3 linked regions of the Callithrix jacchus genome follow. The protein of the gene in region 3 purifies or fractionates together with the protein of the main gene of each other region. This does not show direct contact. Links are inferred from orthologs where the notes say so. Each region holds a gene or a part of one and is shown on either strand. Other genes may lie near its edges.

Region 1 (3,646 bases), on a different chromosome or scaffold from region 3:
CTTTGTGCAAACAAGTATAATAAAATGACTGGAAAGAGTATTTCAGGATACTAAAGCAAGGAGAGGTGAATATACAGATTAAAAAAATATGCTATTAGATACTTTGTGTAAAATCTATAAGCTTTTAGAAACAAGGAATGGTTATGTTTAACACCATAAACATAAGGAAGGATTAAGAGGTAGATTTTCTTTTTTTTTTAACACTGTTTTTTATACTCACCCATCATAGGCCCCACTGACTATCCTCTTGTTATCAAATCGAATACAACGCACTAATTCCTCATGGCCTTCTAACACTCGTAAACATGCACCACATTCTATGTCCCATAATCTGGAAGAGAAAAGTGAGTCAAGTGATTTTTCACATATTCTAAGTCTGGAGTGTTATAATAATACACTTCATATGCCTTCTAAAAACTCACAAAATAAAATCAATCACCACCCACATAGAAAGTACCATTTTCAATGTAATTTATTTCCTTTCTGCTATATAACTCATGCAGAAAAATGTAGGTTTAAGTTCAAATGTAGTATGTATTTTCAAAGTATAATGCTTTATATAATTCTGTAACCAGGTTCTTCCAGGCATAAAAATGATGAATTCAAGGCACACAGTTGCCTGAGAAGAAAATGACCAAACTAAGAAAGTAGTTTCCTGAAGTCACCATACAGATTATCAGTGATGTCCTGTTCTCACAAAGCACCTCTCCCTCTGCCACAGTGGACACTTCTTTCACCACTGTCCAGGACAGTTTTTCTCAGAGAATGGAAATGCAAAGCCAGTTCTCAAAAACTTTTGTGTACTAATTTTAAAAACTGTATATTCTGAAATTATTTTTCAGAACTTTTTAAAGTGATTTCTAGGAATAATTTCCTTAGATATAACAGTAGCTCTATCTGTTTTTTTTTTTTAGTGGCCTTTTCATCCTTTTAGTACTTCACTGAAGAGAGAGGATGGATAGATCTTTCAAATTCTATTAATATCCACGTCATTCATCTTTGTGAAGAGAAAATTAAAAAATGACTTCCAACTGTGAAATCTTCATAATTTCAAGGACAGGTAACTCTATGGCCAATTATGTAATGCTAAGACCAAAATTACATAATTTCTAGTAAGAAAACATATCTTTCTTTTCACTTCTTAAGTGGCAAACAATGACAAAGAGAAAACTTAATAGCATTTTGCAACTGTAGACAGGAGAAATTTAAAAAGAAGGGCAACGACAGGGCATGATGGTTCACACCAGCACTTCAGGAGGCTGAGGCCAGTAGATCACGAGGTCAGGAGTTCGAGACCAGCCTAACCAACATGGTGAAATCCCATCTCTACTAAAAATACAAAAATTAGCCGGGCGTGGTGGCACATGCCTGTAATCCCAGCTACTCAGGAGGCTGAAACAGTAAAATCACTTGAACCTGGGAGGCCAAGGTTGCAATGTGCCAAGTACACATTGCACCAAGTCACACCACTGTACTCCAGCCTGAGCAACAGTGCAAGACTCCAATTTCAAAAAAAAAAAAAAAAGATGGGCAACAAAAGGCTTTGTTGCTGCCTCTCTGCTTCTGACCTGTAAGAAGCTACAAAAAGGAAAAACAGTTGATTATAAACATAACAAAACTGAAGACTTGATTGATCTGTGCACTAATAATGAATGGGAGCATAATATTGATCATTTACGATAAAAGGCACTTGCTGCTCACCTAATAGTATTGTCAGATGAGCCACTCACTACCAGCCTGTCCCTGTATTGCAAACAGGCAATGCCTCGTTTGTGTCCATTTAAGGTCCTCACAAATTCACAAGTACTTGTGTTCCATACCTGAAAAAGAAAACGGCATTGAGCAATTGATTTGGTGCTTTTACTGGTAAAATCTATGGCAACTGGAGTCTTAGGGAAGCAGGAAATGAGACTGAACCATTAAAGGGAAGTCAAATTCTCAAACAGAGCAAAAGACAATTTAAATTCATGGTAATAGAGGCTAATTTGCTGTTGGCTGTTATCAAGAAAATTCCTCAAACTGATTTTCTCTTCTAGGGTTAGTCTGATCTTGCAGATACATTTTTCTTGACCCTACATTTGCCCCTGCCCTTCTCACACTCACCATTATTTATAAGAATAAAATACCTAGCTCATATTGTCACACATCTCATTTATTACCTTTTCACTTGTAGACTAGTCTCTGAAATAAATACTACATATTTCTTCAGTGATGTTTAAATATGACATTGCCCTTGATCACATTTTCATATGAATTCCCCTATTCTAAGTTGGAGACTTACTGAAAGATACCTGATTACCTTTATAGTTCTATCCCCAGATGCAGAAACGATGTACTTGTCATCAAAGTCTACAACATTGACAGCAGCTCGGTGTCCAACCAGCACCCTCCGGAGGGTAATGTCAGTTGGGGAGGCCATATCCCATACAGCAATGGAACGATCTTTGGAGCACGTCACCATCATGCCATTATTGAAACGCAAGTGCAGAACTGCTTCACAATGGTGAATCAATGTGTTTAGCATTTCACCTGTATTTACATCCCACACTCTGGAAGTGACACATGAGACTTAGAAGGTACTCAAGCTACAATCTGTTATCTATATTTGACCATCATATGCCCTGCCACTCCTCATATTTTCATGGTAAGTGTTATAATTCTACTCTTTAATTCCTTTGCAGCACTAAGCTGCGGTAAATACTGATGGATTGTGGGAAAGTGGTAGAGAGAAGCCCAGACTGGGAGAGTGGGAGAAGGAAGGGGATGGGATGTTGCCAGTGTGTCCTTTAGACACACTGCTTGAAATATGGGCAAGTTGTGGAGGGCAAGGATGAGGTGGCAGCCACTGTCACCTAATAATTTGGCCCAGACTTGAAGATTATTATAAAACTTCTGACATTCAATTTGATACCATTAATAAGATACATTTTAAATGGGGAATCTGATTAATAACAGTAGCATTAGTGCCCATCCCAATAAAACCCTCAGGAGCCAGAAATGACATAGGTCAAGATGCTTCTGTCACATACTTAGCAATGCAAATTTGAGTTTGATTTCCCTGGATCTCAGGTCTTATCATAGAGGTCAAAGGCCAAGATAACCACAACTCTTAATTATAAGCCCCCCATTTCTGTGCTTTGAAGTGGGTACAGGTTTAAAATAGCCCTCTCATTGTAAATACAGGCTTCACAGAAGAGTGTGGGGCCACTGGATAGCTTGGGAATTTTGTGTGATGACATATTTGATTATTCTATTTTTGTGTATTTACTTTGGGTTTTATAACATGTTATTTCCTTTTTCCAGTTTAGCCCCCTTTTATGGAATATCATTTTTTCTTTATCTTATAAATGATGTTAGCATCTACAGTATTTCAGATTCAGTGAGGCACTTGCTCCACAAGCACCAATAAATGTTAAATGTCAATAATTACACGGACCGAGTTTGCTATGCCTTTAAGTCAAAAGACAAAAACCACAAACAGTCTTTTCTATTCACAGAGGATAACTTGGAATGGTAAACATTTAACTTCAGAGTATCGAACAATGCAGTTAACTGCTTTTTTTCCTAGGTTTATTTTTTTTTAAAGTTACTTTTGATGCATTATGTTTGCTAAATACTTCAGCTTAAGGCAAAATTCCTAACAGAA
Region 2 (4,336 bases), on a different chromosome or scaffold from region 3:
GTCGGGGACTGGGGAAGGGGAGTGACCCCCTTCCTCACCTGCCCTCCCAGCACGCGTACCCCCGACAGAATTATCCTCCCTCCTGCAGAGTCCAGAGTAATAACCCAGTTTCCGCCCTGATCACGGGGACTCCAGAATTTCTGGGGGTCGACCCTCGCTTTTCCCCGTTCCCTAGGCGAGGGGGTTCCATAGTCTCCCGGCCGCGCTCTCCGCCACCCCTGGCGCCATCCCAGCCCCCGCCGCTAGAAACTCGTTGGCCTCGCTCGGCGCTCAGCCGTGGAGCCAGGGCTTGCGCGTGGACCGCGCGTCCCGCTCTCAGCCGCGTATCCGGGACTCCGAAACGCGCGGCTAGCCGCCCCCTCCCCCACCGCCCAGATGGGGTGCGACCGCCCACGTGTCGCCCCTAGCCCAGTCCGGTCCTTCCCTCGGGCTCCTGGAGTCAGAGGATCCGGAATGAGTTGGTCAAAGCCGAGGGAAGGGACCCGGGCGGATCCGCTTCCCCCTCCCCAGGAACGGAGGGAGGGGGGAGGGGCTGCCGCCCCCTCCCCTAAGCTCCCGCCCCTCTCTTCCCCGAGAACGGAGCGGAAATTACCCCCTCCCCCCGCGGGTCTGACCTGGGGACGTGGGCGGGGCTTAGCGCTTAGCCCCCCGCCCTCCGTCCCTCTCCCGCCTTCCCGCCGGGAACGGAGTCCTGCACCCCAAACAAAGTTAGGCGACCCGAACCTAGGGCCTTAGAGAGCTGCCGGAGGTGTCCGGGTGGTGCGGACGCTGGAAGCTCCACCTGTCTGCCCCGACTCAGGGAGGGAAAAGGGGACCATTCAAATCTCCACCCGGTCACTCCCTCCCTAAGACCTCCCCCTTCGGTTCGCTCGGGTTAGCTCCAGCTACCACCCCTCTTCCTTCTCTCCCACCGTCCCCCTCTCCTTGGGTCATCTCCGGCCAGTTCCGCGCGTTCCCCCTAGGACCCCGAAACGTTATCATTTAACAGCCGGACCCCGGGTGCGAACTACCCTTTCTCCCGTGGGGATCTCGAAACATGATTTCCTGCGGCTTCCTCGTTCTCAACTAGGATCCCCCGTGTTCCCAGCTACTCGGTCTCGCGCTTGCAGGGTCCCCCGGTCCTGCATCCCCGGAGGCGGGGGAGTTCCAAGGGGCTGGGGTGGGAAATTGGAGACCCCCCCCCATCTAAACATCTAGGGAAAAGGTGCCTTTCTTTTTAAATCACCAGCTCGTGCGACCCTCTCCTGAAGACCCCAGAGTCTTCGGCTTCTCTTTGTCTATCTCGGCCGTCCCTTGCTTGTCAGTCGCTAGCAGTTAACCGGGGTGGGGTGAGCAACTCCGCCCGGCAAAACGAATAAAAAATAATCGTACATTTTACCCTTTAAGACTTAGGAAATCTGGGCTGGACCATCCTCCCCCAGTTCGGGCAGGGGTAGGGGGATGGGTGGGGGCGGGGCGCTTCCCTAGAGGCCAGGTTCTTGCAAAGGGGGAAGGGGCGAGTAGAGCTTCGGGGACGCTGCCCCACCGTCCTAGTTTACCCCGGGGGTGAGTTGAGTTACCCACCCTCAGGCGCGAGATTATTGGGTTTGGCCGGAGGGCCCAGGGGCCCTGTGGCGTCGGGGGTCTTCCCCTACAGGGTGGGTGGGGGCTGTCACCACGTGGCTTCTCCTTTTTTTTTTTTTTTTTTCCGCTCCATTTTTTTTTCAAGTCGATTTTATTTAGAGGCGGCGCCGGGGCGGCCGCGGAGAAACGTGACACACCAGCCCTCTCGGAGGGGTTTCGGACCGAAGGGAAGGAGCCGCGCCGCGTCGTCCGTCTCCCTGCGCGCCGCTGGCACTTCTCCTGGACTCCCCGAACTCTCTCGCGACCTCTGCGCGCCCTCAGGCCGCCTTCCCCGCCCTGGGCTCCGGACAACTTCTGGGGTGGGGTGCAAAGAAAGTTTGCGGCTCCTGCCGCCGGCCTCTCCGCTTCTTGGCCTAGGAGGCTCGCCGCCCGCGCCCGCTCGTTCGGCCTTGCCCAGGACTGTGTCCTGCCCCGAGACCGCCACCATGAACAAGCTTTACATTGGCAACCTCAACGAGAGCGTGACCCCCGCAGACTTGGAGAAAGTATTTGCGGAGCACAAGATCTCCTACAGCGGCCAGTTCTTGGTCAAATCCGGCTACGCCTTCGTGGACTGCCCGGACGAGCACTGGGCGATGAAGGCCATCGAAACTTTCTCCGGTAAGAGCACAGCCATCTCCCGGAAAAGCCACAACGGGAGCCCCGAACAACGGAGACCCGCACCTTCCGGTTCCTCTCCCGCCAACTCCTCTTTTCCCGGGCCTGCGGGGCTTGGCCTCCGTACCCACCCTCGACCTACCCCCTTCGATGCCCCCTCCCTCGCTCTGTATCCCCCCCAACCCCCGCGCAGAAACATTCGGGATTTCCTCCCAGTCTAAGATAAGAAGCTCTGGCTTCCCCCATCCCTTCTCCCTACCGACGGGGCGGGAGCCCCCAATGGCAGTAGTGGGGGGTGAGTTTAGGGACATGAAGATGACCTCGGCTTGGCGTTATTTCCACGTCCAGCCCCTCCCTATCCGCCAGTGGACGGCCCCCCAGCTGGAAAACCCTGGCTCCCCTTCCTCAGTCTTAGGCCTTTCCAGGCGTAGAAGGGGTCCCCGCACCGCGGGCGATCTAGCCGCTTCGCGTGGGGAATGCAGCCCTCCAGTAGGACTTGCAAGGAAGGGGGTCCCGCCTCTCGCCCAGGGCCTGGGGCTTGAGCCATTTTGATTTGAAAGTGGGGCGTGAGCGGGGTGGCGCGGCGGCGGCGGCGGCGCCGGGTCGCCATGCTGCTTCCCGAGACGCCGAGGCTGGGCCGAGAGGCGCGCGCCGCGGCCGCGAGGGACCCTCCCCGCCCGGCCAGGCTCTGCTCCCCCAGGTCCACCCCTTCCCAAACCAGCCCCGACAGGTGACCTCTCCGCGGCCCGAAGCCTTTCTTCCTGGCAACAGAGAAAAATAAAGTTTAGTTCTACACAACGCCTCCGCCCCCCGCCCCACTTTCTGAGGAATGGGGAGCCCTTTCTCTCCAGGCTCCTTCTCCCCACATCTGGGAACTCTATAGGCAGCGCAGCCACCCAAATAGACTCGCACCTTTACCAAATCGGGCTTCCAGAGCGACCCACTCCACAAGCCTCAGTGATTACACAAAACAAAAATTTCAAAATGAATAATAACGAATTTATAGATTCCACCATTCGTAGAGCAGCCTTTTTCCCATCCTGCTATGGAAGCCACTGCTTGGATTCCTAGGAAGATCTCGAAATCCCAGTAACTCCTGAATTACCCTGGTGTCTTTCCCCTTCCTCTTCTCACCCCTAACCCCTGTTCACACTTATAGTAATTTTTTATTTTTTTATTTTTAGGGAAAGTAGAATTACAAGGAAAACGCCTAGAGATTGAACATTCGGTGCCCAAAAAACAAAGGTAGGAAAGAGCTCTTTTCTCGGGTTGGGGGGCGCGGGGGTGTACTGAGAGGCTGTGTTGAGGGGTCCATAGCGTCTCCAGTGGAAGAAACCCATTACTGGTCTTCCCACCCCCAACTCCGGATGTTGGGGGCAGGGAGGGAAGATTGGCCAAGATCTTGTAATGGGTGGTTTACAGCTTGTAAAAAAAAAAAAAAAAAAAAAAAGTTGGGGCTGGGGTGGCCTAAAAGATGTTAGTTGTAGAATTAAAGGGGAAAGAAAATAAATAGGGGAGAAACCTTGTGGAGTTTAAGCTGTGGGGCCGTTTTTTTGTGGGGAACCTTGAAATCTTTGAAGAGTTCAGACTCATGGCGATTTCTGCAACTTCGTAGCAGGCCTCATTTTCTGTTTTTCTCACTCTTTCCACACCATAATTCTTAAGTAGATTGCCCTTCTACTCCCTAATCGGAGTGGAATGAGTTTCCTGGCCCCCCAAAAATCCCCTTTTGCTTGTAGTTTATTTATATTTCTGTAACAGGCAAAGACTTTTATTTCCCATGGACCGCCCCCCCATCCCCAATCCCTCACATCTCACATCATCCTCCTCCTTGACTGGATTTTCCAAAGAATATGCCTTGGCTGTACTATCCTTTTCGAGCCCCCCTACCCCCACTCCTTCAGCCCATTGTTACAAGGGGACCATCTGGGGTGAGAGCTTTGTGTTGAGGCTGTGAGCTGGGGCTCTTTGGAGGGTCTAGAACTCCGTGGATGAATGGTGTGTGTGTGTGTGAACTCCGTGGATGAATGGGGTGTGTGTGTGTTAATGGGGTGTGTGTGTGTGTGTGTGTTCCAATACCCTATATCCTCTATCCTCTCTCTCCAGCAAAATGGGG
Region 3 (3,646 bases):
GCTGGGTGTGTTGACTCAGCCTGTAACCCCAACACTTTGGGAGGCCTAGGTAGGAGGGTCACTTGAGCCGAGGAATTTGAGACCAGCCTGGACGACATAGTGAGACCTTGACTCTACAAAGAAATATAAAAATTAGCCCAGCATGGTGGCACGTACCTGTGGTCCCAGCTACTCAGGAGGCAGGAGGATGACTTGAGCCTCAGAGTTTGAGATCAGACTGGACAACATAGTGAGGCCCTGTCTCAAAAAAAAAAGAAAGAAAATCATCCTTGGGCTAGTGAGCTGTCCCTTGGGGGCTGGTGTCTTCTCATGTTTGTCGAGAAGGTGAATCTGTTTAATGACACTTGAAGGCATTCGCTGACCCCAGATGGGGCCTGAAGGGGCTGCACTTGGCTGACAGGGCCACAGCCTGAAGCCCAGTTTTATTTTGGAACAGGCAATGCTTCTCTGCATGCATCGTGTGGCTTCACAGATGCTGGTACTCAGATATTCCCAAGCTGACCCTCAGACCTTTAGTTTTGTAATTTGAGAAAGTTGTAGAGGGCAGCATGGCTTTAGGAACTGTTGTCATCTACCTTAATCCTTATCGCATCATCTATACATTTTCAGAAGGCTTTATTTTAGTTGAGTTTCAGTTTTCTGAGGTTTTGTTGTTGTTTTCCTAGAGATGAGGTCTCTCTGTGTTGCCCAGGCTGGTCTCAAACTCCTGCTCTCAAGTGATCCTCCTGCCTTGGCCTCCCAAAGTTTTGGGATTCTAGGCTTGAGCCACCATGCCTGGTGTTTTTTATGTGAATAAAAGTATTGCTGTGGAAAGAGCCCCATGTGTGTGGTCAAGTTTGGTGAGCCTGCAGCTGCTGGCGTCCCAGAGCCCATCCTTGTCCCTTGAGTTCTCAGCCCTCAGTGGTTTGGCCCCTGGCCCTCATGGGATGTTGGGCCCCAGCTACAGAAGGTTGGTTGCCTGGTGCTTGGGAATGAATTCTTATGCCTGCAGTGGTTGTGGCATAGATGTACTCTAACCAGAGACCACTGGACTGTGAACCCTTGGGGGTGGGTCATGATGAGGGGAAGGTGCAAAATTTGGAAAAAGGAGTTCTCCAGTCCCTGCACGCACCCTCACAGTACGCGAAGAGTTTCCTCCAGGGACAGCTGAGGCTGTTAGAGTATTTTTACCCTCAAAGAAGGACCAGGAGGCCAGGCCTGGTGGCTCACACCTATAATCCCAGCACTTAGGGAGGCCGAGGTGGGCAGATCGCGAGGTCAAGAGATGAAGACCAGCCTGGCCACCATGGTGAAATCCCATCTCTCCTAAAATACAAAAAATTAGCCCAGCATGGTGCCACATGCCTGTGATCCCGGCTATTTGGGAGGCTAAGGCAGAATCGCTTAAAACCTGGGAGGTGAGGGTTGCAGTGAGCCAAGATCGAACCACTACACTCCAGCCTGATGACAGAGTGAAACTCCATCTCAAAAAAAAAGAACCAGGAGAAGTGCCCATCATCTAAACTGTGGGCAGCTGCAGAAGCCACTAAACAGACCCCCCCCACATACACAGTGGGAAGAGTGGAGGACACCAGCCAGCCTCTCAAGTCAGCTCCTCACAGAACAGGGTCCCACCCTCCACTACCATATTTAATTCTTCCCAGTTTAAAAACGTCATGGTTTTGACCCATGCAGTGTCTCGACCGTGAGCACCTCGTGGCCGCGCAGAGCGGGAAGGGGCCCAGCGGCCATGGTCAGCCTGCATCCAGGCCAAGCCCCATCCCCAGGACACCTGCACCAACCTTGGCCTGACACTGTGCTCTCTGTTCGCCAGGTTCTCCCCCATGGGTGTCGATCACATGAGCGGGCTCTCTGGCGTCAACGTGCCCGGAAACGCCTCTTCAGGCTGGTGCATTTTCATCTACAACCTGGGGCAGGACGCCGACGAGGGGATCCTCTGGCAGATGTTTGGGCCCTTTGGCGCCGTCACCAATGTGAAAGTGATCCGCGACTTCAACACCAACAAGTGCAAAGGGTTTGGCTTTGTGACCATGACAAACTATGAAGAAGCCGCGATGGCCATAGCCAGCCTGAATGGCTACCGCCTGGGGGACAAGATCTTACAGGTTTCCTTCAAAACCAACAAGTCCCACAAATAACTCGCTCATGCTTTTTTTTGTACGGAATAGATAATTAAGAGTGAAGGCGTTGAAACTTTTCTTGTTAGTGTACAACTCATTTTGCGCCAGTTTTCACAAGTGTTTGTCTTTGTCTGAATGAGAAGTGAGAAGGTTTTTATACTCTGGGATGCAACCGACATGTTCAAATGTTTGAAATCCCACAATGTTAGACCAATCTTAAGTTTCGTAAGTTATTTCCTTTAAGGTATCTATTAAACAGAAATCTAAGTAGAACTGCATTGACTAACCAGTCCCTCTGGATGGTGGTGAACCTGAAGCATGCTTTAACCTCTAAGACTGTCTAACACGCGTTTCATTCAGTGTCTCCACAGACCGGGTAGCAAAAAAAAAAAAAATCACCTTTTAGTTTTAGTTTTGAATCTAAAGATGTTAGACAGATGCTGAGTGTGCGTTTTCTCAACCGCTTCACCATTTTAAGCAATGTGTATGCTTTGGTTGACAGGAAGTTGCTTCTCCAAGCAGGTCCCGTTGCCACCTCCTGCTCACTCTGTCCCGGGCTCTGCCGAGTGGTCCTGGGAATGGCAGCGGGCCCGTCCAGTGTGGGCCACCACTGGGGCTGGGGCCACATGCCGGGCCAGGCCCTCCAGAGAAGGACACAAACGTGTTTTGTAAGCCCAGGCACCAATGGGAACGGACCAAAGAGTTTCAGGGAAACTCCAGTATATTCCAGAGTCAGATCTAAGCTCCAGGCACGCCTGAAGATGTGTTGCTACTCTGACGCCCCGAGTTTCTGTCCACACATTGCATGCATGGCGCCCCCCACATTGGATACTCTTGTTCACGACCATTTCTCCCATTTCTAAGAGCATTTAACATAGCTTGGAGGCGTAAGATGGCTCTGTATTTTAATAACACAGAAACATTTGAGCATTGTATTTCTCGCATCCCTTCTCGTGAGCGCTTAGACCTTTTTCTATTTTAGTCGGATTTTGTTTTGAAATTTTGCTTTTGTATGAACACTCAGCAGAAAAGTACTTACTTCTTGCCAGTTATCTATTAACCAAAACCTTTGATTTGTAGTTTTAAAGATTAACCCTCAAAGTTCTCTTCATAACTGCCTTGACATTTTGGGTTGTTCTGTTCTGTTAATTTTCTTTTGCTTTTTTGTGTTTTTTGTTTGTTTTTACTTTTGCATTTAAGACCATTAAATTTGATTTTGTTTTGCTCGAATTTTGTTTTGTTTTTTATTTTACCTTTTCTTTCTTTTTGGTTAGGGAAGGTGCAGACGGCCCAACATTCAGGGAGGAGTCATAAGATCTTAAGAAACCGATACTTGCCTCAAGCAAAAGCATTTCTGAATTTGTGACGCAGGAATGTGCAGTCACAGACTAGTGGCTTTTAAACCGGGAGCCCGGAGGAAGGGTAAAAGAGAAAGCCTGTGAGATAGCCAGAGCCAGATCTCCCAAAACTCCTCAGGACTGGGATCTGGTTTTTATAAATAACTAGTATACAGAGAGAATCAAAAA

Evidence for each region.
Region 1: the proteins of ELAVL1 (region 3) and BTRC purify together in Homo sapiens (affinity purification with western blotting; 4 studies listed by BioGRID, with this or other methods). This does not show direct contact. The link is inferred for Callithrix jacchus from reciprocal best matches to the Homo sapiens genes ELAVL1 and BTRC.
Region 2: the proteins of ELAVL1 (region 3) and IGF2BP1 purify together in Homo sapiens (co-immunoprecipitation; 3 studies listed by BioGRID and IntAct, with this or other methods). This does not show direct contact. The link is inferred for Callithrix jacchus from reciprocal best matches to the Homo sapiens genes ELAVL1 and IGF2BP1.

Annotation. Positions count from the first base shown.
Region 1 is NC_133513.1:94,486,833-94,490,478, reverse strand, and holds part of BTRC (F-box/WD repeat-containing protein 1A), read right to left. Parts: intron 2,550-3,646; coding exon 2,300-2,549; intron 1,821-2,299; coding exon 1,702-1,820; intron 332-1,701; coding exon 221-331; intron 1-220. UniProt on the Homo sapiens protein: Substrate recognition component of a SCF (SKP1-CUL1-F-box protein) E3 ubiquitin-protein ligase complex which mediates the ubiquitination and subsequent proteasomal degradation of target proteins. Recognizes and binds to phosphorylated target proteins.
Region 2 is NC_133506.1:117,295,753-117,300,088, reverse strand, and holds the start of IGF2BP1 (insulin-like growth factor 2 mRNA-binding protein 1), read left to right. Parts: upstream 1-1,492; 5' UTR 1,493-2,048; coding exon 2,049-2,223; intron 2,224-3,404; coding exon 3,405-3,465; intron 3,466-4,336. UniProt on the Homo sapiens protein: RNA-binding factor that recruits target transcripts to cytoplasmic protein-RNA complexes (mRNPs). This transcript 'caging' into mRNPs allows mRNA transport and transient storage.
Region 3 is NC_133523.1:7,497,314-7,500,959, reverse strand, and holds the end of ELAVL1 (ELAV-like protein 1), read left to right. Parts: intron 1-1,813; coding exon 1,814-2,138; 3' UTR 2,139-3,350; downstream 3,351-3,646. UniProt on the Homo sapiens protein: RNA-binding protein that binds to the 3'-UTR region of mRNAs and increases their stability.